Linked DNA regions of Neurospora crassa OR74A. The protein of the gene in region 7 binds, or shares a complex with, the protein of the main gene of each other region. Links are inferred from orthologs where the notes say so. Each region holds a gene or a part of one and is shown on either strand. Other genes may lie near its edges. The genes, in order: NCU08552, NCU07549, NCU06469, NCU05714, NCU06768, NCU07852 and NCU02804.

Region 1 (4,182 bases), on a different chromosome or scaffold from region 7:
CGAACAAAGGCACACTCTTGTTTCCGTCAGCAATTGAGAGCTGAAGCTGACCGCAAAGTGAATGAATAGTGCACTCTCTCGGCCTCAGGTCTCACGATGTGTGTCTGCAACGAAGCCAAGTGCAGCCAATGCGACTCGACAGTGGCTGACAATGACAGGCGCAGTCAAGTGATGGTGGTGGTGGTAGTGGTGACAGCCAAGGTCACAAAGTATTGAAATTCAAGCTGAAGCTGCAGCTTTGATCGAAAGGGACAGACTTGTTGTTGTTGTGGGTGGTGGTTGACGGGAGGACAAGGACGTGGTCGCGAATGAGGTTGCAAAGAAGGGCGGGCGGGCGGCCGAACCCTTGAGAAAGCTGAAGAGCTGAGTGGGAATGACTGGGGATGGAGGTCAAGCTTGGGTGAGGGTCCTTTTGCGGTCCGAGTCTTGTTGGTGGTTGGTCGGACTCGGGGGGAAATGGAGTTGGAGTGGTCCGGCGAGGCGGGTTGCCGTCATATGTATTCTTGTACTTGTTGTCTGTCTATGAATTCCTGAACTCAAGTGTGAAAGTGCGAGGAAACTGCAAGGTGGTGCGGGCTTCTTGCTTTTGGCTGCAGGGATATGAGGCAATAGCCTTGTTTGAGGGCCTTGCTATTTTACCTGGAGCTGTAACAGGAAGAACAGCAACAAACCGTTTGGTGGCAGTGAAGCTGAGGTGAGAATAAGCTGAAGCTCAAGGTAAAACTGCTCAAATCGATTGGAGAACAGGGAAAAAGGGGACGAGCAGAAACAAAACAAAAGGGGGCCCGGCATTGCAAATCTTCGCCTCTTTACTCCTCTTTTCACGATCCCACCTGTTGCCGTGGTAGCGGTGGTCTAGCCAAATTCCGAAAGACACAATTGGAGAATCAGCCGACGGGGGAGCGGGGACTTGGGGGAGAGTGGGAGACACCATCCTGGCTGGAGCTTGGTTGCGCCGAGGTTGTCATTGGTGGTTTGGGTCAGGGCTGATGGAATGTTTCTAACCAGATGGGGATGTTGCTAGCAATGGACGACTTGAGTCTCAACGATCATCTGGGGTACGCTTTCAGAGATGGGTACTGTATGTATATCGCTGTCTAACTTGCCTCTGGAGTCGTCGGGTAGAGATACTATGACAAGCTGTTTGCAAGCTGACTTGAGATGGTACATGCCCGGGCTAGCTGTCTGATTGTGTCCAGAATGGCCGCACTCATTATCTTCCTTGACAAATACAGACGATTCAACAGTTCATTGTCCAATAATGACTTCTCATAAAATGTGCTCATTGTTAAACTCTTCTTAACATCAACTACGGTCATTGAGTCCTCACATGTTCTGTTGCTGATGCCTCAGACTCTCACACTTTCAGAGCTTCAACTACAGCTACTTCCCGAAAGCGTTAGTGTAGTCAAAAAAGCAGCTATGTAAAGAGCATGCATGAGACACCCCTCCCGACTGGCTCCACACTCTTCGTCCAAGTTTTGGCGCGTCCCCTTCTTCTCTCTTTTCTCGCGTTACTTAGGAGCCTGCTTACCTAATGCAGGGTACGTACCTCTAACCTGGCATCCCCGTCCCGCAAACAATTTTCGATGGGGTCCCCGCGTCCGGCGGGCACGACGGACAGCAGCCGGCCGGCCGGTCATCAATCAATCAATCAATCGATCGATACGCGGCGTCAACCGTGGAATCCCCATTCAGTTGCCGGGTTTCGGTCCTCTCGACAGCCAACTAACTTCAGCCACTACTCGCTCGGTAACAGGGACAGAGTAACCGGTTGCCCAAGATGATTCAACTAAAGGTTTGTTTTTTTTTCTTCTTCCCTTGCTGTCGAACGAAAGCAAAAAGAGTTTGGTTGCTAACGAACCATGCGAACTGCAAACAGACGATGCTCAACTGCATCGACAACTCGGGTGCTGCCCTGGTGGAATGCGCCATGGTTGTCGGCCAAAAGAGGCATGCTTCGATTGGTATGCTTTCGAATTCCCTTTCGATTTCCGTTATACACCCACGAACCCATCGTCGACTCGAGCATATCATATCTACACGAACTACCCGATCCCTCTTTCGTACCCCAACACCAACACCGTCGTCGCCGTTCATACCCGTCCCATCCCGTCCGATTCTTCTCGTCCGACCAAGGAACATCTGGTCTTATACACATATCATACTTGCCTCTTGCCCCTCTTGTTCCTCCCTCCCCCTTCTTTCCCCCCTCTTGTCCCCCTCCCCCTTCTTTCCCCCCTTCTTTCCCCTCCTCATACCTCAACTAACAGAAGAAAGGCGACCGCATAGTAGTAGTCGTCCAAAAACAGCGCGGCGCCGACTCGGCCGGCATGGCCGCCTCTTCGGCCGCCACCAAGGTGAAGCGCGGCGACATCCGCCACGCCGTGGTAGTGCGCACCAAGCAAAAAGTCCAGCGCCGCGACGGTTCGGTCGTCCGGTTCGACGACAACGCCTGTGTCTTGATCAACAAGGCCGGCGACCCGATCGGATCGCGCATCAATGGTGTGGTGGGCCAGGAACTGCGAAAGAAAAAGTGGAGCAAGATATTGAGTATGGCGCCTATGCAGGCTTAGCTAGGCTTGATTGATCGATCAGGGAGGATATATGTACGATGGATGTAGCGGGAGAATCAAGATGGAATGAAATATGAATACCCGTAAAGAAAAAGAGTTGAGTTTGTTGGGGTGGGATGTGGCGTGACGCTCCTTGAAGTGAAGAGGAGTATGCTCGGTGGGATGTGTCATTGCGGTGACTTGGTGACTCTCGTGGGGGGTTTGGGTGTCGGCTCAGCTTGGGTTGGCTGTGTTGAGGTAATGACTGACGATGAGCGCTACGGAACATCACTTTGTTGATATCTGACGGAACTGTGGTTTGTGTGTCTACGGATTTCCAGGATGGACTTGGGATGGCCTGGCGTATACGGGTTTGAGACTGCGACGTTGTTCTCAAGGTACGACGGCTTCACACACCGGACATCACACCAAAATATGGTCTCATCGAACGGCCTTTCTTCAAGCGCCATTTTGGGTAACGATCAGCCAGCAGCAGCCGTCACATCAGTCGATTAGGTTTACCAGTCACTTCAGTTCGGGACATCAAGCGTGCCGTCCTAATCTGTGTATACTACTGTACATTACATGTCATGTCAAGCAAAACAACATCACCATTGCATATCACACGAAACAGTTTATAACGTTATCCACGAGATTCATGGAAAGACCATTTCTAAACCAGTGTCCTGCCAAAGCATGAAAAAGAAAACCAAACGCCCTAAACCGCGGTCCTTTTGAGTTAACCGTGTACAAACGCCACTGTAATGCAACTCATCATGACCCCCTGATCTTTATTAATCAACCTGTGATTTTTTCCGACCGCCCGCCTGTCCGCCTATAACAAGGATCGATCTGGCCCTATTCCTTCCGAGTGAAGAGTGAATCCCCCACTACTGGTAAATATTACCACAATCGCAGCAGACGTAGAAAAGTTTCTGAAAGTAACGTTGTTAACCCATGACTCTGGTGAGCCCCTCCCAGGCAGGTGAGTGAGTCTTACCATTCCGGTTTCCGAAGTACGCTGCTGTGACTGGAAGAAGACAGCTTCCGGGTGGTGGCAGGCAGGGCATTCCTTGATGGCTCTTGGGAGCTAGATAGCAAACGAAAGAAGAAAAAGAAGAGATTAGTCTCGATGCAAGCCAGAGCAAATGACAAGAACAAGCCAAATCCAGGTCATCGCCTCGCGGACCAGACCCCGCCACCAGACGGACGGAGACTTTTGGGTATGCGCTGTGCTATGCTATGCCGTGCTGTGTGCCAGTCGTGTCGTGTGTCGGGTGCTGTAATCCCGAAGGTGGGCGAACAACCGCGCCGCCATGATTATAGATGTATTATAATCCTGATGTAATGGGTATGCCGTAACCGTAATCGCTGTGACCGTAAAATCAAAAAGTCGTAACCTCGTGAGAGCGGGAGATGCGTCGTCTGCCGGTCATGTCCTAAGCTGCCGGGACTTGAACAGGCAGTTGGCTTGATGCCGCCAACTCCGTGTCGGTGTCGTCGAGCTCCATGTTTTCAGACTCGATGGAGTCCTCCTCTTCTTCGTAGTCCTCAAAGGCGACCAAGTTGTAAAAGTACTCTTCGGCACGGACCCTGCCCATGGCCTCCCTCTCGCTGCTGTTGGAAG
Region 2 (3,970 bases), on a different chromosome or scaffold from region 7:
ACACTTTTACCCCGCCATTACCATCATCATCATAGCACCCCGTCATATGTCAACGAAAACCCCGCGGTAATGACTCGGCCAGCTAACTAAACAAACCCCTATTTCCAGGAACGGGACCCGTAAGGATCTCAAGGCCATCGTTGACAACCTTAACAACGCCCAATTGGACCCTAACGCCGGTATGTCTGCAACGCCAGGACAAAAAAAAAAAAAAAAAAAAAGACAGGGTGGAATTAGCAGTACACTGCTCAAATGCTGATCAGAACATAAACAGAGGTCGTGATCGCCCCTCCCGCTCTCTACCTTGACTTCGTCAAGCAGAACCTCCAGAAGCCCAACGTTGAGGTTGCCGCTCAGAACGTCTTCAACAAGCCCAACGGCGCCTTCACCGGCGAGATCAGCGCCACGCAGCTCCTGGATCTCGGCGTCAAGTGGGTCATTCTCGGCCACTCTGAGCGCCGCAACGAGCTCGGCGAGTCGGACGAGTTCATTGCCTCCAAGACCAAGTACGCCCTCGACAACGGCATCTCGGTCATCTGGTGCTGCGGCGAGTCCAAGGACACGCGCCAGGCCGGCGAGACCATCAAGTTCGTCGAGAACCAGCTCGCCGCTCTCGCCAAGGAGATCAACGACTGGAAGAACGTCGTTATCGCGTACGAGCCCATCTGGGCCATTGGCACCGGCCTCGTCGCCACCAAGGAGCAGGCCCAGGAGGTGCACGCCGCCATCCGCAGCTGGCTCAAGCAGAACGTCAGCGACAAGGTTGCTGAGGAGACCCGCATCCTCTACGGTGGCTCTGTCAACGCCAAGAACTGCAAGGACCTTGCCAAGGAGCAGGACATTGACGGTTTCCTTGTTGGCGGTGCCAGCTTGAAGCCCGAGTGTAAGTACTACCTGCCATTGTTGCAACGAGAGGAAGAAAGATGGCTAACATGATATGATGCAGTCGTGGACATCATCAACGCCAACCTGTAAATTACTTGCCCATAAAAAGTTATAGCTTTGCTACAGCCGCAATCATATAGGCTGGGAAATGGTGTTGAGGACACGGCGAAAATATAAAATAGTTAAATGTCCTGATTTTGTTCGATTTGGGATTGAAGAACGTAGTTTCGCTTCATGTAGCCCGTTCATGACTTCTGTGACACCAGATACCGCAACTCCGCGGCTCCTCCATTCGCTCTTAGATGTTCATCCCAAGTTCCAATATCAACAGTCAACCACCAAGCACCAGAAGATAATGTCAGATTCTTTGGAACTGGGGCAACTCATCATGGGAACTCGATAGCTCTGGAAGGACTTGATCACAACCATATAGCCAAACCGAAACCCTTGATACATCCAGAAACCCTTTTCATGTCCTCAATTCATATTCATACATTCAACATGGTATATACAATCCACCTGGTACTGAACCGAGCCAACACCGGCCGAGCACCAAATCCAGCCCAGCACCGATCCAGTCCATTCCAGCACCAGCACCAGCACCTGCTCCTCCCCCTTTTTCCGCTTTATACAGCCATACCCTGCCCATGGTAAGGCGACCAGACACCTCTGACACTGGGGTTCGTGCTGGTGACGGGCTTCTTGAACTTCTGGGGCTTCTCGCCGCTCGCGTCGCGGAGGAGCTCGGCCTTCTTGAGGATCTCGAGCGGCTCCATGTTGCGCACGCAAATGGCCTTGGTGCGCCCGTTGATGTAGTGGCCCATGAGGATCGGGTGCTTGGCGGGCCGGGGAGAGACGACGAACTCGATTTGCGGGTTGGCGGCGGCGAATTTGGGGAGGAGGGATTTGATGAAGCCGCTAGATGGAGGAAGAAGTAAGTGTTAGTGAAAGAGTCTGTCTGCTGAGGTCGCGAAGGGAGACTGGAGGGATAAGGAGGGACGAGGAGGGACGAGGAGGGACGAGGAGGGACGAGGAGGGACGAGAAAAAGGGTATGTAGTGGTGGATGGATGGATGGATGGATGGTCGGGGACGGCGGGATGGTCTCGAGATCTTGGGAGGATGTCGGTTTGGTTGGACGTGTAGAGGTATTGGTATATGTGAAAGATGTTCGATCGGGAATGAGGTTGCGATGTCCATATTCGAAGAATCCTAAACGTACTTCATGCCCCGGGAGCTGCCGGCCCAGTCACTGTAGTGGATGTCCAACTTCTTGCACTGCAAGACGAATGCGCCGACGCCATTCTAGATACAAAACAATCAACGATTAGCATTCTTTTTTTTCTGAAAATTAAAGTTTTTAGTTGCTCAGGCTGCGGTCTAACTTACACGGCCGGCAGAGGAGATCTGCGTCAATGCTTTTACCGTCATTGTTGTGATGCTCTTCTTCTTCTTCTTCTTCGCCGCCGTCCTCGCCTTGCAACAAGTCCGAGTCCACCAGGGTTCATGATCCGGAGGGCGGGTGCGACTTGAACTTCTGCCAGACTCCCGCCCCGTCGCGCGCCGGCACGGCACTGGGGGTGGGGGACCCGCCCAACTGCAAAAGCGGTTGGCAGAATCAATTTCACGCGATTGCACTCCTCCTTGGGTGTGTGCGTAGTGATAACGAAGACGACCTAAGGGTGCACGGTCCCTCTTTCGCACTCAGTCGTTCGGTGGTCGAGCGCGCGAGAAAGCTGCCCAGCAAGAGCTCCAGTCGCTGCGAGGCTGCCAGGCAGTGGACGACACAACACCAGACAGGGCCCTTTGCTGCTCCCGCCTCCCACCCTCTGTCTCTCGTCTTCAGCTGTCCAAGCAAAGTCGCGAAAATGCGGGTTTGACCTTTCTCGCAAACCGACAACACCACATTATCGCCATCACAAGAATTGGCAAACAGTAACAGCGTTCAGCCTTATTGAACTGTTCTCGCCCGGCTTTCCGAACAGTGGATCAAACGCCAGACGACCTACATTTCCTGGTTTCCGACATATCGATTTCATAATTCGACGACAGATAAGATCAACAAAAAAACACCACTTGACCAGCTACAACAGCGACAACGTGAAGCGACAATGACAGACCGGCTCCCGCCTAACCTCCTCGCACTCTTTGCGCCCCGGCCACCTCTGCGCTGGGTGCCGCCCTGCGATGTTGCTCCCGAAGAGCGCAAGTCGGCCTTCATCACCCCCGTTGCCGACTTCCTTCCTGCCATGCAGGCCTACGAGCAAGAATACGAGTACCATCCCACCGAGAGCTGGCTGGAGGCGCGCGACCGCAAGAAGCGCGAGAAGAAGGAAGCTTTGGAGAAGCTGTTGACCGAGGGTCCCAAGAATTGTACGCGGCAAACCCCCAACGTTACGCGCAGTTGTGCTCGCTACTCCTTTACTTGATCATGATCTTGCTGTCGTGCGGCTTGCTAACCGATGGCGTTTATCTGTAGACAACCCTAATGACGATCCCAACATCAGAGGAGATGCTTTCAAGACGTTGATAGTAGCGCGTCTTGACTACCGTGCTGATGAACAGGATCTCGAGCGCGAGTTTAGCCGCTACGGTCCTATCGAGCGTGTGAGTTTGCAAACCCCCCCTCCTCCTATATCATGATTTCACAGCTATGTGTGTGTTAATTGACAAGAACTGACACCAAAAAACAGATCCGTATCATCAGAGATACCCACGCCGATGAGAACCCAAACAAGAAGAAAAAGCCCCATCGTGGCTATGCTTTTGTCGTTTTCGAACGCGAAAAGGACATGAGAGGTAATGACCAGCCCCCCTTGACCCCCCCCCCCCCCCTCTTCTTGACATTCAACCAGCACACACAGACAAGGAAACGCCCGCTGTCGGTGCTTTTCTGTAAGCCCACAACCAGGACTCGAATGGCCCTCAAGCTTGCCTGTCCTGCGGAAACTTTTTCGTCTTCCCTCTATCCATTCATCTTCCACGTCGTATACCTTAAAGGTAGTATTGTTTCTTCATGGTAAGGCCTTACTGACACCTGCGCCTGTGGCGCATGCGCAATCCAGCTGCTCTAGATGGCTGTGATGG
Region 3 (4,250 bases), on a different chromosome or scaffold from region 7:
AATTTGAGCAAACGCGGCGGAGGCGTCAACACTGCCGCCCCTCGTCTCGACAAGAAACAAGTTGAGCAACGTATCGAGGAGGATCGTGAGCGGCATAAGAGGCTGAGGGAGAACATCTGGGCGGTGCCGAGCGGAGACGAGCTGGATAGATTGCTGGAGGAGACGTCAGAGTTGGGGGATGACGACATGAGGGCGATATGGGAAGAGCAGGAGGAGTGGGAGAGGAGTTTGCAGGCGGGGATTGGAGGGATTGGAGGGAGTGGTGGTGCGGGGTGTGGGCATACTACCTCTACCAGTAACGGGGGTGAGAGGGATGATGGTATGAATGGGAATAACATGAAGGAAAAGCCAATGTCGATTAGTGGGGAGATTGCCGAGATGGCGAGGAGGAAGCAGCTGCAGCAGCTGGAAAAGGAGCAACAGGAGAAGCAAGATAAAGATGTGGAGATGACTTCGGGTTAGGAAACCGACGGAGGAGAAGAGAACCTGGGAATTCAAGACCAGTAGGAATGACACGGGTGGTGGATACAAGAGGCGCGCTGGTAGGAGTGCGATAGAAAGAAGAAAATTGAAGGAGGCAAGGAGAAGGAGGTTGAGAATAAGAAACAAGGAAGTTACCGATACATGGGGTATGCATGGGATGGCGTTTATGTTTTTGGCTGTTTAGTTATCTTCGGTATCCATAAGCGAAAGTGGGGAGATACTATTAACTCAGAAGCGGCATCTGCTCACGGTAATATCGTCGACAGACTCTCATGTTTTCGCTGACAACCCGTTCTTCTATCCATCCCAGTTCTCGTAGTATGATATAATGTTACATGTTTCATTGCTTTTTGTACACGTACAAGTGGTATATGTTGTTGTGAGGAATCTGTGTCCGCCACTCCCCCCCTTTCCCCATGAGGATATAATGTAGATGAGACCGAGAATCCCCCTTTATGTGTTTCCCAAGGCCCTGGCATTTCTTCCAACTCTGTCCCGTCATGATCATCATTATAGGAAAAAAAAAAGAAAATATCTTTCCGGCATCTGTGTCAGGAAAAGATCTCCTCGTTTGGTTCTTTTTCTGCGGGGGAGGGACGTGACCATCCTACAAAACAACAACACACATACACACACACACACACGGCGCCTCCACCCACCACACCACCACACAGAGACCATAACCATAGCAACCAACCCTTTTACTAGGCAGAAGCAGCAGTTTAGTCCATGGTGACGGTGGCGCCGAGCTCCTTCATGGCGGCGACAATCTTCTCGGCATCCTCCTTTGGTACCGACTCCTTCATGACCTTGGGCGCGCTCTCGACGAACTTCTTGGACTCTACTAGGGAGAGGCCGAGCAGGTTCTTGACCTCCTTGATGACCTTGGGCTTGGCGGCGGCGTCGAACTTCTCGAGCTTGAGCGTGAACAGCGTCTTCTCGGCAGCGGCAGGGGCGGCCTCCTCCTCCTCAGCGGGAGCGGCGGCGGGGGCAGCGGCGGGGGCGGCAGCGGCGAAACCACCGACGGGGAGATCGGGGATGTTGAGGCGGGACTGTTTTGTGTAAAAGAAGAGAGAGAGAGAGAGAGTGAGTGTTAGTGTTGGTGCCCATGTACATGTGTGCGACTTGAGAGTCTAGGTAGTATAAGATAGGTCTGTCTGTCTGTCTGTCTGTCCGGGGCCGGGCCGGGTCGGGTCGGGTCGGGTCCGGGGCGCAAAAACATCCGGAAACCTTGAAACATGCTCCGATTCGGGTTTTGTGTGTCCCGGTTCCCGGCCCCGGTTGTTCTTCTTCTCGTGCTTTATTTAAATCGGGCGTACCTTGAGGCTGGACACAAGCTCCGAGGTCTCGAGGAGAGTCAGGGTGCTGATCTGGTCAACAATGGCGGCGATCTTGGGGTTGGCGGCAGGGGCGGCGGTGGACTCGAAGCGCTTCTGGACGAGGAGGGAGCTCGAGGCCCGGGTGGATGCGCGGAGCTGGCGGGCGGCGCATTGCGCGGCGAAGCGAACCGAGAGAGACATTGTTGGTATGTGTGTGTGTTGGTGGTGGTGGGTTGTGTGGATGGATGGATGGAGAGAGGGGAGTCGGACTCGGACCGGAGGAAGGAAAGAGAGAGGGCGCGCGGGGGCGGTCGGATTGGGGTTCTCTTTTTTTGGTGAGGGAGGCTTGCCGTCGACGTCGACTTCGAGGATCGTACAACCGAACCGTACAACAACTAAACGGAGATATTTTTTTGGGGACGTTGTCGCGCGCTCCCGGGTGCTGCGAAATCTGGGACCCACTACTGGCAGTTGGCAGCTTGGTGGTTTGGGCGTGCAAGTTGGATCTATGACGGCTGGCTGACCCGGAGCTGCAGCTGGAGGGGAAAACCCAAGCTGCCTGCCCCGCGCGAGTCTGGGGATTAGGTACCTCTGTACCTTGAAGTCCACTGAAGACGCGCTAAAGGATGGGCCCCTGTCATCCCAAGCGCGCCCCTGCTGCCGCTGGGCTGTTCGTCCCACCCGGAACTAGGTTCCACTTTTGAAGAAGATGGCTCCCTTGCCTGCCGCAGCCGACTTACACTACACTATGTAGAGTACTATGCAGTACACCCCAGCACATGCGCCTAGCGCTAAGTAGCATGTACCCCGCACTATCGTTCAGCGCGATAAGGAATTTCATGTGGGAAAAAGTTCCAAACGGGAGAAAGCGAAGTTCAATGGGCAAAAAAGTTAGAGATAAAAAAAAAAAAGAGACTAAGAAAAACATCACCGTTTTTCACAACGACGACGACGACGACGACGACGACATCCACGCCAACCCGTCCCGTCGCTTTTCCCTGGCCATGATGGCCGTGATCGATGTGAGCCAGCAGAGGGCGTCGCTCCTTAGCGATGCGACCACCTTGGACCTCTTGCCGCCAGAGTTGCTGCTCATAATCCAGGATCACCAATCGACCAAATTCCTCGATGCGATCGCCAGCGCCGCTCTTGTCTCGACAGCCACCGACCGCATCTTTACCCATTTCGAGTCTGTTTTTGCCGATATTTGCGCCAGATGGATTCTGTCTTCTCCAAAACTCGATACGCGAGTCCTTGCCGCTTTCGCAAGGATCTTGCCCTTCGCCCCGTCGCTGTCCGTCTTCCTCGTGTCGCATCTTCGAGGAGGATCTTTTGGTGGTGTTAATGGTGGTAACCACAACGACAAAAGCAACGACAATGATGCTTCTTCAAAACTTAAACCTCTCGATTCCCTTGACCTAGCTTCGATCCGCCCAGATGACCTCCCAATTGTCCTCCTAGCCCTCTGGAGGCTCAACAACTTTGACAAGCGCACCTACGCCGGCCTGTCAAAGCCATCCCAAATACAGACCCTGTTCGCACACGAGAACCCCATCGTCCGATATCTTGCCGTCCGAATCTTCTGCCAGCTTCATAATGCCGCCGATGTCAAGATCGAAGCCCTCCTCGAAAAGCACATACCCAAAGATACCAGCCTTGTCGCAGAGCTCGACGGGCGCGAAGCCGACTATGCGTTCCTCAGCCTACACGAGGATTCTAGACGTGAAGACATTCAGAGCTCTCGCAGTAAATCCCAACAAACTAGTGCGGTTGACGATGCGGTTGTCGAATTGAATATCACAAACATCCCAGAACAGAACCTCACTCCTCTAGTTGTCAAATATGGAAAGACAGTCCTCCCGCGTCCCCTCGGCCCTGTGACTGCTCCCACCACCCTCGCACTTACCCCGACGACTGTTGAGAACCTCGAGAACCTCACCGGGTGCCTGCAACGACCCGGGCCTATCCTCCTCCACGGCCTGTCCGGTTCCGGCAAGACCTCCCTAGTCCACGAGATTGCGCGCGAGTTAGGCAAGCAGAAGCAACTAGTGACACTACACCTGAACGAGCAAACCGACGCCAAGATGCTGCTTGGGCTATACACCACCGACTCGAAACCCGGTTCCTTCTCGTGGCGCCCAGGTGTGTTGACCACTGCCGTCAAGGAGGGAAGATGGGTCTTGATTGAGGATCTCGATCGCGCGCCAACAGAAGTCATGAGCACATTGCTGCCTCTCATTGAGCGAGGAGAGCTGCTAATTCCTGGACGCGGCGAGACCATACAGGCCACCGAAGGCTTCCGCATATTTGCTACTGTCCGGACGCTGCTCGGCATGAACGACAAGGAGAACCTACCCAGCTTGATTGGTCTGCGTCTTTGGCAGCTTACGCACGTCAAGGCCCTTCCCCAACAGGACTTGAAGGATGTCATCAACAGCAGATATCCCT
Region 4 (4,441 bases), on a different chromosome or scaffold from region 7:
GTAACTCCAGGTGACAATACAAATCCCAACTCACACGAAGTTGGGAACATTGCCACAGCTGAGCCGCTTCATGTTCAGGTCAAGCAAGACTAGAAGGAGATACAATGTGCCACAGCGAGAGAGAAAGTCAGGTCACAGGTTCAAAGACGACAAGAACAATTGATGGCGACCTAGAAGTTGATGTTATGATCCCGTGAAATTCGGACAGTTGCTGTGGACACTTTGGAGATGTCAAGGAAAGTACGTCGCACCTCATTCGCCGAAGGAAGAACGCGAGTTGCGCAAACGGTTGGCATTGAGAAGGCAGCCAGGAGAGACATCGATGTGGACATCCTGATAATCCATAGAGACAACGACGTTTGAAAACATGAATCAAGACCGAAGAAAGAACCGTAAACATATTGAACGTCAAATGAAAGAGAAAGTAGTCTGGCATTCAAGTCGTATTGAAACTGACCCAGTTGCTTTCCTAAAAGGAAGGTGCTATCCATGGGTGGTGAGGGCTTGACTTGTACACGAAAACGATCAGGTCGCTGCCGCAAACATGACCACATCCATGGGATCTTTCCCGCTCGCAAAGAAACCCATTTATCAGCCCCAAGACAGAAAGCAAATATTGAGAGACCACATTTTTGAGGCCCTGAGAGGCTGTCCAATTGACATGAAGAGCAAAAAGCTCGGTCGCCCAGGTAAGTTTGTAGAACGAACGACAATACCCCAACTGCAGACCTACGAAAAAGCCACACATTTTCATCAACGGGAACCACTGTGCCAAAAGATCACAGAGTTCCGTTATGCCAGAGAGATCAGTTAGGGAACCCGACCTTATATAATACCTGTAGGCTACAGCAGAGGGTACTAGAGGTTTGCGGCCTGGGCGGGAAGGGATCTTGTCATCCGATGTTCCCGTCGGTGAAGGGCGTGCCGACCGATTGCCGGTGGCAGGAGCGGTGGCAGGTACCTGGCGCGTGGTTTGGGCTTGGGACTGACATTCCATGCTTGAAATTCAGACAGACTTGAGTGAAAAGCCATTTCGGAGCGGCGCTTCTCTGCTTGACTTGGAAAGTTCCATCACGATCGGTTATGTTTATCCCGCGAAATGACTGCACGCTGTCCCTTGCTCTGTTCTGCAGTAAACGTTATCCGACAGCAAAGAAGGCTTAACAATTACATTCTTTCTATCAGCCATACAAACACCTTCAGTAAATCAAAGTAACATTCAGGCAATTCCAGCGTGTATGTCACTCATGCCATTCTCAACACTCCCGAACCCCACCAGCTCGATTGGCTCATGGCTGACACAGAACCCCCTTCGACACGCCCTACTTCAGGACTTCTGTGTAATTCTAGCGTAGGTCGCAGTTGAGACCCATCTATAATAGGTTTCTAGTATGAGCTGCTCTTGGCTGCCTGTTTTGCGTTGCTCTCAAAGGCAATACTTTAAGCATCCCACAGTTGTACTTGCACAATATTTTCTCAACGCACCTCCAATGGCCTCGGGACACTCAATTTATGATCATTCCGACTGGGTGGAAAAATTCCCTAAACTCGCACCAGATGTTCTTCAGCCTGTTAAGCCGCGGTACAATCACTCTTAGGGACTTTCACCGCACTGAACCTTTGACATGTTCTTGCATATCCCGTGTAAGTGATATCGAACATGGATATTTTGGAGCATCACGGTCCCTTGGCGAAGGACGTCGGATGTGGACCAGCTGCTGACTCAGCCGCCCATTCGCAATTGACCGAGACCAACGAGGGCGCACGGTCCACCCCCGCGACGCAGGTGTCGGAATTTGGCTGGGCGCGGGTCCTGAACTTTTGTTTTCGGGGAAGTGCCGTTGCCGTGAGGAACGGAATCCGGAAGACTGCCCGACCCAGACCCAACCCACTCCCGTGTCCTCCGCCTCCGTCATGCCTCCCAGGTTACCGCTCGCCCAGGCGGCGCGATGCTGCCAGGCCTCCCTCACAGCCCGCCCTTCGGTCCCAGCCTCGTCGCCGACGTCGTCCCTCATTTCGCTCTTTGCTGCCCTCTCCGTCCAGACCAGGAGCGCATCCATCCTCGCCAGCCTGTCCGACAACCGGGGCGCCTACCACAAGCGCATTCGCAAGGGTCGCGGTCCTTCGTCCGGCTATGGCAAGACTGCCGGTCGCGGTACCAAGGGTCAGAAGGCCCACGGTCATGTTAAGCCATGGTTCCAGGGTGGTCAGACGCCCTTGATCGTCTCTCACGGCCGCAAGGGTTTCGTTAACCAGTATGCCGTCCCGACTTCCCTACCTCGCTTGCTATGCGCCATGGCCAAGAACTCTCCAGCATGCTATCCGATAACCTATACCTACCAGATACATGATGGAGACTAACCATTTGTGTCTTTCATAGGTTCGCTGCCGACATGTCCGAGCTTAACCTCGAAAAGCTTCAGGAATGGATCGAAGCCGGCCGTATCGACCCCACGAAGCCCATTACCCCCAAGGAGATCATCAAGTCCGGCATCATTGGCAGCAGCATCAAGGACGGCATCAAGCTTCTCGGCCGCGGCAAGGAGAGCTTCAAGATCCCCGTCACCATCACCGTATCGCGCGCGTCCGCCTCCGCCATTGAGGCCATCGAGGCTGCCGGCGGCAAGATCGTCACCCGATTCTACACCAAGGAATCGCTCAAGCGTCTGGTAGAGGGCAAGTCTCTTCATACCGACAAGCCGCTGCCGGTGGGCAAGGAGCACGTGGAGGAGATCCTGGCGCAGGCGCGATCGCTCAAGAAGAAGTACTACCGCCTGCCGGACCCGACCAGCCGTTGGGATATTGAGTACTACAGAGACCCGGCGCATAGGGGCTACCTCAGCCACCAGCTTGCGCCTGGCGAGTCGCCCAGTTTGTACTTCAAGGTACCGACGGGCGGCGAGAAGGTCAAGGTGGTCAGGGCCGACAAGGTCAAGGCCAGCAAGACCGGGGATGTGGCGTCGGAGAAGCTCTTCTAATGAACACGAACATTGCCTGGGATGGCGGTTTTTCCGAGACTCGTTGTTGCGCTCTTCCTCGTTGTTGTATGATAGGTACTGGGCCCGTTCATGGCTCTGTGCTTTGTGTTGTATTATTATCATCCGCGTATTGTCAGTCCAGCGTCTTGCTCCTCGGATCAGTTCTATTTGGGTCCTTGTACATCATACAGGTCTCACCTACGGGAGTGGATTCCCACATGCGGCCAGCACTCCACTTGCTGACAACGCAGGTGAATCATGAAACTCCCTTGATTGACGTGTTCCTGCTTTTGCGATCCATCGTAGTTCGAAGATGGGCTTTATAAAGTAAATATCACTTGGCTGCGTGTTGACATGGTCCAAACGACGGATCTCGAAGACTTGCTGTCCCGTACCTGGCAGTCGGAAGAACAGCCATTGGCCAGTGACATGTCAATCCCGCAAGCTGACCCCGGTCAAGTCCCGGTCCTGGGCGGTCCCCGGCCATTCCTTCCAGGGCAGCTTCCACGGGGACGGTGAATGGGGGCATTAGAAAATATGGGTCTGATCACGTGCCAGGTCGCTTTTGGTACCTTCTCCATACCAGCTTGTAATTACGTCCGAAAACAGCCGTCAATACCCGACTTCTCTGCAAATTACCAATTAGTGTTAGGGTTAGTTAGGGTTAGTTAGGGTTAGTTAGGGTTAGGGTTAGCTCCGGGGGTGCAGGGGGCCGGTGAGAGGCCCCCGCATGTGAATGTGAATCGTTAATATTGACATATGTCAACCATATGCCGACCATATGTCTTGTAATTACGGTAATTACACGGGTGACTTTCGATACCTTCGGCTTAAAGAAAGTGGAGTATGCACGGACCAGTCTAATGCCCCTAATCACCATGCCCAGCTTCCACAGCGGGAACCGTCCACTGAAGCCACTGTATGCAGCCCTCCCGAACGGGATTGTGTCAGCTTTGGAGTCGGCGCGTGCCCTCCACCCACTCTGCCCGCCGCGGCGTCATCATTGATGCATCTTGACTTTTCTTTCCTCGAGCGGGAGAGACCAAACTTTGTCGTTGTCAACATCACGACCTGCTTCAACTTTTTTCTTCATTTCTGTGTTTCATTTTCTTCTTTTTCTTCTTCTTCTTCTTCTGGCTGAGGTTGCCATAATCTCATCATTAACTTGTTCACTCTTTGGTTCTTCCATCTTCAGCCCTGGCCCATTGGGGTTGTTCCTTGCAGTGCCAATCCTGACGGAGCTTATATACCTACGTCTACACTACCAGTGGCGGTACCTACATCCAACAGCCCTCCAACAGCCCTCCGTTGCATCCAGATTACGAGTCGCATTGCGACGCTGCTAGTGAGATTCTCTGCGTCGACTGTTGCAGAAACCGAGCCTTGCAGAGTGGCCTCACATTTTGCTTCAACCTCGCCTTGCGCCGAACATCTTCACTCCTCCAACCGACTTACACCGTGAA
Region 5 (3,662 bases), on a different chromosome or scaffold from region 7:
GCCAACCCTCCTTCTTCGCCGATGAAGCAAGGACGTCACAGATCTCTTTGTGTGTCGGAGCCGCTACCCGCACCAGCAGGCATCGCGATCGGATGGGTGCGATAATGTTGGCTGTCGAATTGGCGAGGAGGATGAGGCGCAGGTTGGGCGAGTATTTCTCCATGGTCCGACGGAGGGCGGCCTGGGCGTCTCTGGTGAGGTGGTCGGCCTCGTTGATGACCACCACCTTGAACCTCTGCTTCGCCGACAGATCTACTTGTTGTGTTTGCGCCACCTCCTTGAGGAGGTCCTGGACCACTACTCGGTCGTAGTTTCCGACATCGGACGGGGTGATTTCGAGGTGGTACACTGATGCGACAATGTTGAACTCGAGCTTGCGGTTGCTGCTGGTTTGGAAAACACGGGCGTCGATCTTGATCTTCTCTACACCTGGGCCGTACAACTCCTTGAGGGTAGCAACAATTCGCGTCTTCTTTCCTGCGCCGGAAGGACCGTAGACGAGGAGGTGGGGAAAGTCACCGCTTTGCGCCTAGGAGTGTCATCAGCGGGGAGCTTCTTTTGCACGAGGGGAACAAGAGGGTCTACTTACAAGTGACCGTAACCTCTCCGACAATTCGGTATGATAGGTGAGGGCATCGAGAGACCTCGGCCTGTGCTTGTCAACAATAAGCGCCATCGTGGTGTGGTGATATTGTGGAGAGGAAAATGGGTTGACAACGGAAGGGGAAAGAAATGCTGGATTGGAGGTGCATGGGAGACGCGTCGAGTTGACGCGCCGTCCAGAAAATCAATTAACAGATGACGGGGGATGGCCGCACGGACCATATCACCCGCTTATACAGGCCCTGGGGTAGACAGTTGCCCACTTTCGCCATCAGTATTCTAGGCAGCTATCTTGAATCTCTTTGAGTTTTGCAACGTCCGATGCTGGATATTGGATCTTCCATGAACCGACATCTAGTATAGGGCCCATTTCATGGCATGGTTGAAAGGGTATATCTAGGAAGCCAGCATTGCTTGTTGACTCGATGTGGTGCTCTGGCCCATCCAGGTAAACTGGTAGTAGCTTACGGACACATTCTCAGAGCATTGAAATCAAAGTGGTGATGCTTGTTACGTCGTCATAATAATCATGAAATGGCCATGGCAACACTCTTTTGCACATTGGCCCTTCTGTTGTTCTACATAGTGTTACAATTAGAATAGGCTCAGGGTTCTCCACCTCTACGAAGGAGGAGCAGCAGTGCTTGATGTGCTCGCAGCACTCTGGGTAATCTCTGGCATCAACAACTTCTTCCTTGGGTTCTTGAGGTCCTCCACCGTGAGGCCATCCTCCAACTTGGTGATGCCAACCACTGGTGGGTCACCCTTCTTCACAAACTCGTACAGACCTATGACTTGTCAGTTTTCTACTCTTCTCAACCTCGCAAAGATTTTGGGCCAGCATGTGCTGTTATTACCTGGAAGCTTGTGTCCGGCCAAACGGAAGGCATCACGGATGACCTGTTCGTGCAATTGCCCCCTGATCTCGAAGATAATCTGGTTGACGGCAACTCTGGTCGCCCAGTGGTCGAACGAACCCTTACCCTTACCCATACGCATCTACACCGGAAATGCATGTGAGCCTCATGTCCGCTAACAGTCGGCATCCGGCCTTCCCGGGCTGTGGGTTGTTCAGCTGCTCACCTCGTTACCGCTGACGTACACACCGACGTTACAAGCAACGCGCTTGTACAGGCGGTACTTCTGACCACGCAACCTCTGCTTGATGGTGTCCTCGGCGAGCTTGAGCTGTTGGGCGCTAATTCTGCGGTGGTGATCGCGCATGCGCAGGCCGTAATCTCCCCAAACCACTGTTGTTCCTTTGGTCGAACCACCCGTCGGCACTCTGGGCCTTCCCTTCATCATCTTCTTCTTTCTGTTGAGGTTGGGCTCGAGCCACGAACCAGCCTGGATGGCGGTCGCAGAGAATAGGCGGACATGGGAGGCGACGGAAACGGGGGTCGGCGCAATGGGGCGACGGACGGCAGAGGTTGCGAGCGACGCGGCACGGAAGGGAGTCGCCGACGAGGATATCCTAAGGCCCTGGAAGGCGCTGAGGAGCGCCGAGGAAGCGTTGTGCTTCATTGTGTTGAAGGTTTGGGTGTGGACCGGACCGGGGAGGGGACGAGTGGTGGACGGAGGACGGAGGGAGGGTCCAATTGGATGCCGGTCGCCGACGACGATTGATACGGATTCCCCGAAGCAGCGCGCGCACAGAGACGGGGACCGGGCAGAGCGACTACCTGCAATGGAAGGTGCTGCGGGCGCGGACGGGGCACGGACGGCACTTCCAAAAATTGTGACCCACCAAAAAGTGTCGGGTGCCGGCCGCGACATGGAATCTGCCGGACACAGCAGACAAGCGGGACCTGGGACTCATTCATTGACTCCTCACAAGAAATACAGCTGCGTGGGCGTAGCTCAAGGCAGCAAGTTGGCGAATTCTTGTAGGACAAGGCCCCACCAGTCGCGACAGGGGAGCAGAGCCCGGACACAGACTCGCGTCATCCACTTCACCTTCGCGTCTCACTCATCATTCAATTGTTACTTCCGTCTTTACAAGGGACAAGAGTCGACCCGTTAGCTCTTTACCCTTCTAGGCCTTTTGTTCAACAACACTTGTTAGGCAGAAGGACAGCTGCCTGGACAACTCAGACACCAAGAACAAAAGTCCCTACTTCCCAACTCCGCCACTATAAGAAGATGCTTGCTGGTGTCATCTGATTGTTACATCTTCCCAACCTTTTGACACATTCAATTTATCATTTTGTATCCAGTGATTTCTTCTCACATACTCCATCATGCCTGCCGACATTCGCTCGTTTTTTGGTCCAAAAGGTGGCGCGCCGCCTGCTAAGCCGGCAACACCAGCACCCAAGAAGGAAGAGGAGAAGAAGACCCGGGGTAGTAAGCTTGAACCATGATCGCCATCACAAGCTTATCACGTTATATTAACAATCTTGTCGCAGGGCCAAGAAAGGTTGTTGAGGACAGCGAAGATGACGAGGTTGTTGAGTAAGCTTAGTGAAAAGCATCTCTTCTCAGAACTAGCATCTAACCAGCATGTGTAGAGTCAAAAAGCCAACCAAGGCTGCGCCAAAGAAGAAAGTAGCGTAAGTGTTTATGAAACACCTCTCAGTTCCATGTCATCCTATTCCTGCTGACAGACTATCTAGGGAACCCGTAAAAGGAGTTGAAACCGATGCTGCCAAGTACTTTGCAACCTCAAAAACAAAAACTGCTGCTGCGTCCCAGTCAACACCGAAAAAGACACCCGCAAAACCCGAGCCAGAAGAACCAAAAGTAGCGCTTCGAACAAGCCCGCGGAAGAAAGCCACCCCCGCTGCCAAAGCACCAGAGCCTCCCAAGACTACTACAAAGAAGACCTCGACTACGAAGAAACCCACGACGGCCTACAAGAGTTACGACAAGGATGACGATGGCGATGCCTACATGGATGATGAGCACGATGCTGGAGAGGACATATTTGCGGCGGAATTCAAGGGTGGCAGCAAGAGGAAAAAGGACGACGACTATGCCGAGGAGGACAGTGACGAGGAGCTCCTCCCCAAGCCCAAGCGAATGGCATCTCGCGCCAAAACAGCAGCCGTAGCCGAGTC
Region 6 (4,271 bases), on a different chromosome or scaffold from region 7:
ACACCGGCGCAACAGCGAACGCGTGCCCAATCACCTCCCAGATCTGGAACGGGTGGCTGAGGAACACGCTCCCGCGTCCGTCCTTGTTGATCTCCACCGTTCCCAATACGCCGCGCGGGGCGTTAGGGTCTCCAGAGATCTGCGCCTTGGTGTCGGCCGTCAGCGTAGCAGTGCCGGACCACACCGGGCCGGCCGACTCGACACCCCGCGCAAGATCGCCGAACTCGCGGATCGTAGCGCGGTAAGTACCCGGCGCGATGCCGCGCAGCGTGAGGTCGACGAGCGTGGTCGAGTTGTTCACCTGCACCATGCGCGCCAGGCCGCGGACCATGCGGTCCGAGGCTCCCGGGGCGGGCGTGATCTTGTCTAGGGTGGGCTTGTGGTAAGTCTCGAGGATGCTGACGGCCGCGCCTTGAGAGTCGCCGGAACCGCGCAGGATGGCGTCACGGCCCGTGGACTGGATGGCGTTGACGATGGCGGAAGGCGCGGCCGTGCCTTCTATCGTGAGCAGCTGGTCCTTCAGGTTGGCCTCCACTTTGTTGATTCCGGGGAGCTTGTAGAGTGCACCGGAGACGTCGTTCACGCAGCTTTCGCAGTGCATGGGCACGGCGAAGAGAGTCTGTGAAATGAGTTAGTATGATGTGCCTCTGGAAGTATGTCAAGGTGAGTCAGATATGTGAGACAGGCTTGGACCCTTTATCTAAAGAAAAGGAAGGGCTTGGACCGAAGCTCATATGTAGGCATATATGAAAATGAGGCTGTAAAAGGGTATAAACAAACCTTGAAGGGGGTTGTGATGGAAGCCATGTTGCCGGCTATCTTCGGGATTGATGATTTGGGAGCAGCCGGGGATGACTGTGACTGAAAATAGTTCCTATGTTGTTGGCGTTGTTGCCAAAGGTATGCGCCTCCAAAACCTGCTAAAGCTAGACTAGAAATACTTAGGATTTGTCTGGCCGTGTACGGTGGCATCGGTTTCAGGCACTAAGAGGTAGCAAAGACAATACTGAGGACAGTATAGAAGTGGTGGTGTGAGAAGCAACACCAACGTGAGACGATGGATTTGTATAGAAGGCGATGGAGGAGAGCCCCACGTTCGGCGAAGGAGGGGACGACTAGGTACAATTAATAACGTTTTGGCTCCAGTCTACGGATGCTTAAGAGACGGGGTAAATGCGACTCTTGTGCTGAGATTCCTCATTGTTTCTCGACAAGAGAGTGCATGAAGTCACCTCACTGGAGTGCGAAATGTCGTTTTCCCATCTTCACTGTAAGACGGCAGGAAGGTAGATGTCGGCCTGCCAAAATGTTGATTTCAAAGCGACGGCACCTTTCTGGGACCACTTTTTGCGGGCGACCAACTGGGGCTCCGCTGTGTCCGGCTCCTCGATCGGCCCAAGCCAGGGCAATCCTGCTCCCCGAAAGCGTGTGATATGTACCGGGAAAGGAAGTGCAGGCTTTGGTACATGGGACATCAGTAAAAGAGAGCTCTAAGTGCGCCGAGTTGGTGTTTGTTAGTGCTTTCCTCAATTACACACTAAGACTTGCGGACCACCGTAGCCACCCCGCCAACCGCCAGCGGGCCGTCGTGCCCCAATCGTACGTGGAAATTTTCCGGCAAGAAAAGTGATTGCAGCTTTTGGGCTTGGCAGGCTCTGCTGCTGCCCTTCTGCAGGAGCTCCATTCTGCTTCCCGTGATACCGGACCACATTTGATACCCGTTCGCCGCGACAAGCCCCGGACTTTCTCGCGCCTGCCGAACCCGCCGTCTCGAACACTCCGGAGCCCGCCCGATCCCGTGTCATTCAATTGACCCGGACGATAACACATAGAGGTTCACTTACCACCAGTCGATGAGGGACTCGTTCCCACTGGTTTTCATACCTGCCTTCTCCACCTTAATCCTCTCTTGAACACCATAGTATACGACCTACATCACCACCGCGCAACACCGTCAACATGTCGCAAACAGTCGGAGCTGTAAGTTTCTTCCTGTTCGGACACAACTGTCCCATAATTTCGTCGTGTTTCTTACAATTTTGGCACTTGCTCGCCCTCCCGCCACCACCACCACCACCTCCACCACCCGTCACTAACCACCGCCGTCTTGCGACGAACGTGTAGACCCGACTAGCCTACTCCCGTGTCTGGCACCACATCTCCGCCGTCACCCCTCACCCCACCCTCTCGACCATCAAGGCTCCTTCCGAGGCCATCACTCCCCCTTCTCTCGGTCGCCTCGCCTCGCGCATTGCCACCATCCTGATGGGCAAGCACAAGCCGATCTGGGATCCCTCCACCGACTGCGGCGACTACGTCGTGGTGACCAACTGCGCGGGTTTGTACACGACGGGCCACAAGAAGTGGCGCAAGACGTACTACCGCCACAACACCCGGCCCGGTTCGCTACAGGCCATCACCATGGATGCGCTGATGGAGAAGCACGGCGGCGCCGAGGTGCTGCGCAAGGCCGTCAGCGGCATGCTTCCCAAGAACAGGCTGCGCGACAAGAGACTGGCGAGGCTCAAGGCGTTTGAGGGTGATGCGCACCCGTACAAGGAGAACTTGGTGCGATTTGGCGGTAAGGTGGTGGGCGCTCCAGGTTGGGAGGAGGCTGTCAAGGCTATCCGGGAGGCGGACATGGAGAGGTTATGAGCGACCATGGCTTTGAGGTGTGAAGGTCTGGTTGAAGGCGCTGGAGCTGGCTATCTACTCATGGAAGAGTGTCAGAGAAACGGGAGAGAAAGAGATGTAGGGACGAATCTACATCGAGCCGTTACGAACCATCTAGCCGACGAAGACTGAGAACTCTGTCAACTGTGAGGAAGATTGTGTGGACAACCACCTCGTTGGGGCGAGAAATCTCTCTCGTGTGTTCTTGTGTCTGTTACAGCCCACTTGGCCGTGTGATTCACGGGCAATGCCGCCAGTGTCAGTCTGTATATTACATGGGAAGCCGGTTCATGAGCCCAGCGCGCAACGGACAGTGTACGAACTTGGGTTAGAAAAAGGGGGCCTCTCATTGTACAAATATATCACTCAACAAGATACCATGATTACGACTCATGAGAGCTGTTTAGACTCATTGATTGTTTGATCTGATAAGCGATGAGCAGATCCTCATGTCCAACACGCTGAAGGCCCGCGAAGGCAAAAAGTCAGCCTCACCGATTTCACGGCATATTTTTTCACTTGGTAATTCGAGAGTGCAGCTAGCAGTGCTTTTCGGATGCTTGCTTGTTCATAATAGGAAGTTTATTTGATTACCCCTGAAAATTAGCGCCAGTCAAGATGTCCATAGCCTCCGTCTCATGATGATCCGTTGCATCAAGGTATCATCATCTTTCCACCTTCAAAACGTACGCCTGCCCGCCAACCAACCCCTCGGAACGTGAGGGGGAATGCAAAAAAAAAGAAGAAAAAAAAATGGTGATATCATAAAAGAAAGCCAAAGAAACATGTGTGACGTTTTAAAAACAAAGTTCAACAGTCTTACGAGCGAGAGACCTCGCATTTGATGAGACCGTTGGGACCAGACTGGGGAGCGTACACCTCGGCGTCCTTGCCGGTGTTCTGGAGGCCCTTGTGCCAACTGAGATCTGTTTTTTTTTTTTGGGTGTTAGTGTAAATTTATCTGGACCTATTTTTTTTTTTTTTGGTGGATTTGCGAAAGGGGTACTCACCAACTTCAAAGTAGTGCTTGTTGGGTAGCGAATAGTTGGTCTTCTCCGTCTCGGGTACCGCATCCAAGATCTGCTCGCACATCTTGTACATAGTGTTCTGTACCGACGCCGACTCGTCTTCCGCAAATGTCTTGAGCGTGATGTTGCGGGCAGCCTCCCACGCAGCGTCGAAGCGTTCAACACCGTCCTGAACGGCCGCCAGGTTGGCACACTTCTTCCAAGTCCATCCGGCATCCACGTCGGTGGAGAGAATGCGGTCCCACGTCTCCTTGAGAGTGGTGAACTCGTCACGGACGAAGCCGTGAAAGGCGGATCCAGTGCTCTTGAGCACCTGGAGGCCGACGATGCCGCTCTTGATGGTGATGCCGTCCCGAGTGACAGTGGCCTCGACGTTGCGAGTCTCCTGGCCGTCGCGCAGGAAGCTGTGGGGGTGGGGCTGGCCGTCAATGACCATGCGCGTCCAGCGGTGGACGGTCACGTCAATGTGGGCGGCGCTGATGTGGGCATACTTGTCGAGAAAGTGTTGGCCTAGGATACTGGCGTACAGCTCGGGAGGGTTGACAGGGTGCTCCTTGGCCTTGATGTAGA
Region 7 (3,711 bases):
TACATCATAGTCTGTCTGTATCGATCTTTGCCGTCCACGTACCGGCTCATCAGTTGTGGATTCTCCGCATCGTCTGTATCTGGCTTTTCGTTGGTTACCGGCATGGCATCCAAGATCTTGGTAAGCGGCTCCTCGAAACCTTGGTCAATCATACGATCGGCTTCATCCATGATTGTGTAGCAGCACTGAGAGAAGACGAGCAAACGTCTTTCAAGGCAGTCCACGAGACGACCAGGTGTGGCGACAATAATCTCGGCACCGTTCCGTAGAGCAAACGCCTGCTCTTCGAGCGAGTGACCACCCACAATACTGACGACTGTAAATCCGAGAGGTGTAGCAAACTTCTTGGCCTCGCTCTCAATCTGTTGCACCAGTTCTCTTGTTGGCGCCAGAATCAGGGCATATGGACCGTCGTTCTTGTTGTACTCGGTCAGGGGTGGTAGTTCGGAGATGTAAACCAGCAGAGGCAGCAAGAAAGCTGCAGTTTTACCGGAACCCGTCACGGCCACACCGATCAAGTCGCGTGCTTGAAGGGCAATGGGAATGGCAGCTCTCTGAATCGGCGTCGGCTCGTCGTAACCCACGTTCTTGACAATGTCGAGCAGACGCCTAGGCAGCGTGGACTCTTCCCAACTGCGCATAGGGTTGGGAATGGCACCGCCCTTGGTGGCAATGCCAAAGTTTTCCTTGAAGATACGCCAATCGCGCTCCTTCATGTCCTCCAGCTTCTTCTCGGACCAGTGCTTGCCCAGGTTCTTGCGCTGTTCCATCTCCTTGATCCGTCTGTGTTGTTCCAGGTATTGCCTGGCGCGCTCCTCGCCCGTCTCGGGATCGCCACGACGGATGGCTTCGGCCTTCCGCATCACCATCTCTTCCGTCATCTCGTAACCACCAAGTCGGACCAGAGGCTCTTGACGCTCTGCGTAGATGGGGTCGAAGGGTCGGCTAGTGTCGTCATCGGCATCCCAGTCAAAGTTGAACTTGTTCGCTGCCGTCCTCCTCCTCTTCTTCTTGGCCGAGAATGTGGACTGATTTACTACTGGACCCATGTAGCGGGCGCGCAGCTCTGCCTCGTCGTTCCTCTCCATCTTGGCTCGCTTCTCTTCGTCATCGTTGGGTGCGCCGCGTTTTGCGCCCCGTTGGTTTCTGTCTCGGTTATCTCTGTTGTCGCGATTGTCTCTGTAGTCCCGACCGTTGCTCATGCCGTTGGGTCCCCGGTCATCGTCGTACCGCATCGCCTTGGGTCCGGTTGGGATGTTTCGTTGAGGGTTGTGGTTGTGATGACTCTGGATACCGTCCATGCGGTTGCCGTTATGATTTGTTCCATTTGGTTGAGGCTTGGCTTCTTCCTTGCGCTTGCGTTCCTCTTCTTCCTTTGCCTTTTTCTCGGCTTCTAGCCTCTCTCGTTCCTTTTTGGGGATGAATCTTGGTTTCGCGGCGGCGGCTTCTTCCTCCTTCTTCTTGCGCAGCAGTGCTGCCAGGTCTGGGGGTTCCCGTCTTGATGTCGTGCTCATCGTGGTAGTGTATGGAGTTGGTGATGAATCGAAGGAAGAGACTGGTCGGAGGCGACAGTGTTGACAATAAACGTGTTGATTTCCAAGCAGTGCTGGGTTCCGGAATGGGGTTGTTGTTATGGCGAACTTGGGTGGTTCTGGGGTGCAGCAGCGGTGCAGCACAGTTCTCGACCCGCCCAAAAGTTATGTCACGGTTCAAGGTCGGTGATCCCTGTCGTGCCTGTTCAAGGGTCTCCACATGCCCCGCCTTACGCGGGGGGTTAAAGAGGTCGGGTTAGGGCTCAAAGTGTAACTTCCGGCTGTCGCTATGTACCGTTTCGCGACCTGGAACTTTTTCGCAGTTGGGGTCCCGTCGGCGGCCGATTGATCGCAAAGTTCCCCGTTCCGGTTCGTTCGAGCAATCCGGACCCTGTCACCTACGACAAAAACAAACAAACAAACAACCCCCCCCCCCACCTCGACCGACACAGTACCGCCAGCAGGCCGGTCGATCGACATCTTCACCATGGCGGCCACGGTGAAGCAGCACGTCCAGCTGGCGCTTTCGCTCCCACCGCGGTTGCGCACCTTCTTGGCCCGGTACCCGCCGGCCTCGATCCTGCCCGCCGGCGCCGACCCCGAGACGCACAAGACGCCCTACCAGGAGGAGAGCCCGAACCCGTTCATGCCCACCAAGCACCCAATCACCGGAAAGTGGCACAACCCCAAGTACTCGCTCAGGCGACAGGCCGAGCTCGTCAAGCTGGCCCAGGAACACGGCGTCGAGGAGCTGCTGCCCTTCACCCGCAAGCTCAACGAGGAGAAGCTACGGAAGAGAGTCGAGCTCGGTCTCCGTGTCAAGGGTACCGGTGTTGGAGAGAAGGTCAAGGGTCACAAGCACGAAAGGACACTGGTTGCCAAGTACGTTGTCGATCCTCGGCTGCTGCTGCTGCTGCTGCTGCTGGTTGGGAGGAAGTGGTGGTTTGCTGACGGTGGATTTCGCACACAGGATGGAGAAGAGGAGAGAGGCCATGCTGGCTATGCCCGACCTTATCCGGGAATGGAAAAAGGTAAGGATTGCGCCCAAACTCTTGCGGTTTGCACTCTTGTTAACCATGGGCTTCGCTACAGGTCGGCAAGAGGAACTGGACCAAGTTCCCCAAATAAGCGATCGGTTGTTGTCGCTTGTCGGGAAGATTACAACGAGAGTCACTGCCATGTCCATAGACTGTATCATCACCAACAATGTACAACAAATTTCAAGCCATTTGGAAGGGGATTGCCATCAATGTGGTTCTGTTTCCCGGTTGTTGACTGAACGTCCTCTGGCGTCTTATAAGACGGAGTTCCCCACTGTGGTTGGAGGCCGAGACGAGGTAATGTGTCTAACGGTGCAGTAAAATTTCCCCCCCGAATTTGTTTCTCTGAACAACTCACTTCACGATACCAGGCACACAACTAAGACTCAAACCACCACGTGAGAACCGACACATCACACATCCTCTTTTTTTTGCCTATTCACATTTCCTACTGTATACAGCAACATAACAAGGGCAGCGAGCGCAAAGAGACACGTGATTGCGGGATACAAACTTTTCTCTCGAAAGCTGCTCGACGCAAACCACCAACCTTTCACCACTTACACGTCGATACATTTCAACACCAAACCGGTCTCACAACCATACCATTTTATACCCGGGGCCGCACTACCAAACACCACATTGAACACCAAACCGCAAAACCACCAACACATCCAAGATGTCCCAACCAACCTTCTACGAAATCCTCTCCCTCTCACCCACCACCTCCGACCTCACCCCCGCCTCGATCAAACAAGCCTACCGCCGCGCCCTCCTCACCCACCACCCCGACAAGTCTTCCTCTAACTTCTCCTCCTCTACCTCCAACAGCCACTCCAACAGCCACCCCAAAGGACATCACCCCCCAAAAACACGCTACACAATCGACCAAATCTCCCTCGCATACACCACCCTCTCCTCCCCCACTCTACGGACCCAATACGACGCCGCCCTTCGCTCTTCTTCATCTTCTTCTTCTTCTTGCTTCACTACTACTAGGAAAGAAGAAGACGACGACTTCCAAACAGGCATCGACACCATCGACCTAGACGACATGGTTTTCGTACCACACGAGACCTCGTCCTCCGCTGGTATTAGTCGTAATGAAAAAGACACATGGTACCGCCCCTGCCGGTGCG

Evidence for each region.
Region 1: NCU02804 (region 7) and NCU08552 share a complex: the UniProt entries of both Schizosaccharomyces pombe proteins name them as parts of the mitochondrial large ribosomal subunit. The link is inferred for Neurospora crassa OR74A from reciprocal best matches to the Schizosaccharomyces pombe genes mrpl25 and mrpl38.
Region 2: NCU02804 (region 7) and NCU07549 share a complex: the UniProt entries of both Schizosaccharomyces pombe proteins name them as parts of the mitochondrial large ribosomal subunit. The link is inferred for Neurospora crassa OR74A from reciprocal best matches to the Schizosaccharomyces pombe genes mrpl25 and mrpl51.
Region 3: NCU02804 (region 7) and NCU06469 share a complex: the UniProt entries of both Schizosaccharomyces pombe proteins name them as parts of the mitochondrial large ribosomal subunit. The link is inferred for Neurospora crassa OR74A from reciprocal best matches to the Schizosaccharomyces pombe genes mrpl25 and mrpl12.
Region 4: NCU02804 (region 7) and NCU05714 share a complex: the UniProt entries of both Schizosaccharomyces pombe proteins name them as parts of the mitochondrial large ribosomal subunit. The link is inferred for Neurospora crassa OR74A from reciprocal best matches to the Schizosaccharomyces pombe genes mrpl25 and mrpl10.
Region 5: NCU02804 (region 7) and NCU06768 share a complex: the UniProt entries of both Schizosaccharomyces pombe proteins name them as parts of the mitochondrial large ribosomal subunit. The link is inferred for Neurospora crassa OR74A from reciprocal best matches to the Schizosaccharomyces pombe genes mrpl25 and mrpl16.
Region 6: NCU02804 (region 7) and NCU07852 share a complex: the UniProt entries of both Schizosaccharomyces pombe proteins name them as parts of the mitochondrial large ribosomal subunit. The link is inferred for Neurospora crassa OR74A from reciprocal best matches to the Schizosaccharomyces pombe genes mrpl25 and mrpl23.

Annotation. Positions count from the first base shown.
Region 1 is NC_026503.1:4,950,847-4,955,028, reverse strand, and holds NCU08552 (mitochondrial 54S ribosomal protein YmL38/YmL34), read left to right. Parts: upstream 1-1,486; 5' UTR 1,487-1,783; coding exon 1,784-1,798; intron 1,799-1,882; coding exon 1,883-1,967; intron 1,968-2,280; coding exon 2,281-2,576; 3' UTR 2,577-3,095; downstream 3,096-4,182. Other genes in the region: NCU08553 (DNA directed RNA polymerase II 15 kDa subunit), read right to left, coding at 3,446-3,490, 3,556-3,645. UniProt on the Schizosaccharomyces pombe protein: Component of the mitochondrial ribosome (mitoribosome), a dedicated translation machinery responsible for the synthesis of mitochondrial genome-encoded proteins, including at least some of the essential transmembrane subunits of the mitochondrial respiratory chain.
Region 2 is NC_026503.1:4,405,496-4,409,465, forward strand, and holds NCU07549 (mitochondrial 54S ribosomal protein MRPL51), read right to left. Parts: upstream 2,496-3,970; 5' UTR 2,315-2,495; coding exon 2,273-2,314; intron 2,189-2,272; coding exon 2,106-2,188; intron 1,804-2,105; coding exon 1,512-1,803; 3' UTR 1,060-1,511; downstream 1-1,059. Other genes in the region: NCU07550 (triosephosphate isomerase), read left to right, coding at 109-179, 275-883, 947-975; NCU07548 (hypothetical protein), read left to right, coding at 2,995-3,256, 3,363-3,490, 3,577-3,682, 3,949-3,970. UniProt on the Schizosaccharomyces pombe protein: Component of the mitochondrial ribosome (mitoribosome), a dedicated translation machinery responsible for the synthesis of mitochondrial genome-encoded proteins, including at least some of the essential transmembrane subunits of the mitochondrial respiratory chain.
Region 3 is NC_026503.1:1,524,115-1,528,364, reverse strand, and holds NCU06469 (putative mitochondrial 54S ribosomal protein MNP1), read right to left. Parts: upstream 2,222-4,250; 5' UTR 2,004-2,221; coding exon 1,803-2,003; intron 1,536-1,802; coding exon 1,206-1,535; 3' UTR 672-1,205; downstream 1-671. Other genes in the region: NCU06470 (hypothetical protein), read left to right, coding at 1-462; NCU06468 (midasin), read left to right, coding at 2,807-4,250. UniProt on the Schizosaccharomyces pombe protein: Component of the mitochondrial ribosome (mitoribosome), a dedicated translation machinery responsible for the synthesis of mitochondrial genome-encoded proteins, including at least some of the essential transmembrane subunits of the mitochondrial respiratory chain.
Region 4 is NC_026503.1:603,949-608,389, forward strand, and holds NCU05714 (mitochondrial 54S ribosomal protein YmL10/YmL18), read left to right. Parts: upstream 1-1,789; 5' UTR 1,790-1,914; coding exon 1,915-2,255; intron 2,256-2,380; coding exon 2,381-2,978; 3' UTR 2,979-3,617; downstream 3,618-4,441. UniProt on the Schizosaccharomyces pombe protein: Component of the mitochondrial ribosome (mitoribosome), a dedicated translation machinery responsible for the synthesis of mitochondrial genome-encoded proteins, including at least some of the essential transmembrane subunits of the mitochondrial respiratory chain.
Region 5 is NC_026502.1:2,002,838-2,006,499, forward strand, and holds NCU06768 (mitochondrial 54S ribosomal protein YmL47), read right to left. Parts: upstream 2,364-3,662; 5' UTR 2,128-2,363; coding exon 1,687-2,127; intron 1,603-1,686; coding exon 1,461-1,602; intron 1,392-1,460; coding exon 1,225-1,391; 3' UTR 1,090-1,224; downstream 1-1,089. Other genes in the region: NCU06769 (activator 1 38 kDa subunit), read right to left, coding at 1-529, 590-676; NCU06767 (replication factor C subunit 1), read left to right, coding at 2,844-2,949, 3,012-3,057, 3,114-3,155, 3,219-3,662. UniProt on the Schizosaccharomyces pombe protein: Component of the mitochondrial ribosome (mitoribosome), a dedicated translation machinery responsible for the synthesis of mitochondrial genome-encoded proteins, including at least some of the essential transmembrane subunits of the mitochondrial respiratory chain.
Region 6 is NC_026503.1:1,107,550-1,111,820, forward strand, and holds NCU07852 (mitochondrial 54S ribosomal protein YmL23), read left to right. Parts: upstream 1-1,631; 5' UTR 1,632-1,959; coding exon 1,960-1,980; intron 1,981-2,124; coding exon 2,125-2,655; 3' UTR 2,656-3,270; downstream 3,271-4,271. Other genes in the region: NCU07851 (superoxide dismutase 1 copper chaperone), read right to left, coding at 1-619, 781-972; NCU07853 (uricase), read right to left, coding at 3,493-3,599, 3,684-4,271. UniProt on the Schizosaccharomyces pombe protein: Component of the mitochondrial ribosome (mitoribosome), a dedicated translation machinery responsible for the synthesis of mitochondrial genome-encoded proteins, including at least some of the essential transmembrane subunits of the mitochondrial respiratory chain.
Region 7 is NC_026501.1:9,064,099-9,067,809, reverse strand, and holds NCU02804 (mitochondrial 60S ribosomal protein L25), read left to right. Parts: upstream 1-1,827; 5' UTR 1,828-2,019; coding exon 2,020-2,414; intron 2,415-2,502; coding exon 2,503-2,563; intron 2,564-2,624; coding exon 2,625-2,660; 3' UTR 2,661-2,833; downstream 2,834-3,711. Other genes in the region: NCU02803 (pre-mRNA-splicing ATP-dependent RNA helicase prp-28), read right to left, coding at 1-1,514; NCU02805 (diphthamide biosynthesis protein 4), read left to right, coding at 3,252-3,711. UniProt on the Schizosaccharomyces pombe protein: Component of the mitochondrial ribosome (mitoribosome), a dedicated translation machinery responsible for the synthesis of mitochondrial genome-encoded proteins, including at least some of the essential transmembrane subunits of the mitochondrial respiratory chain.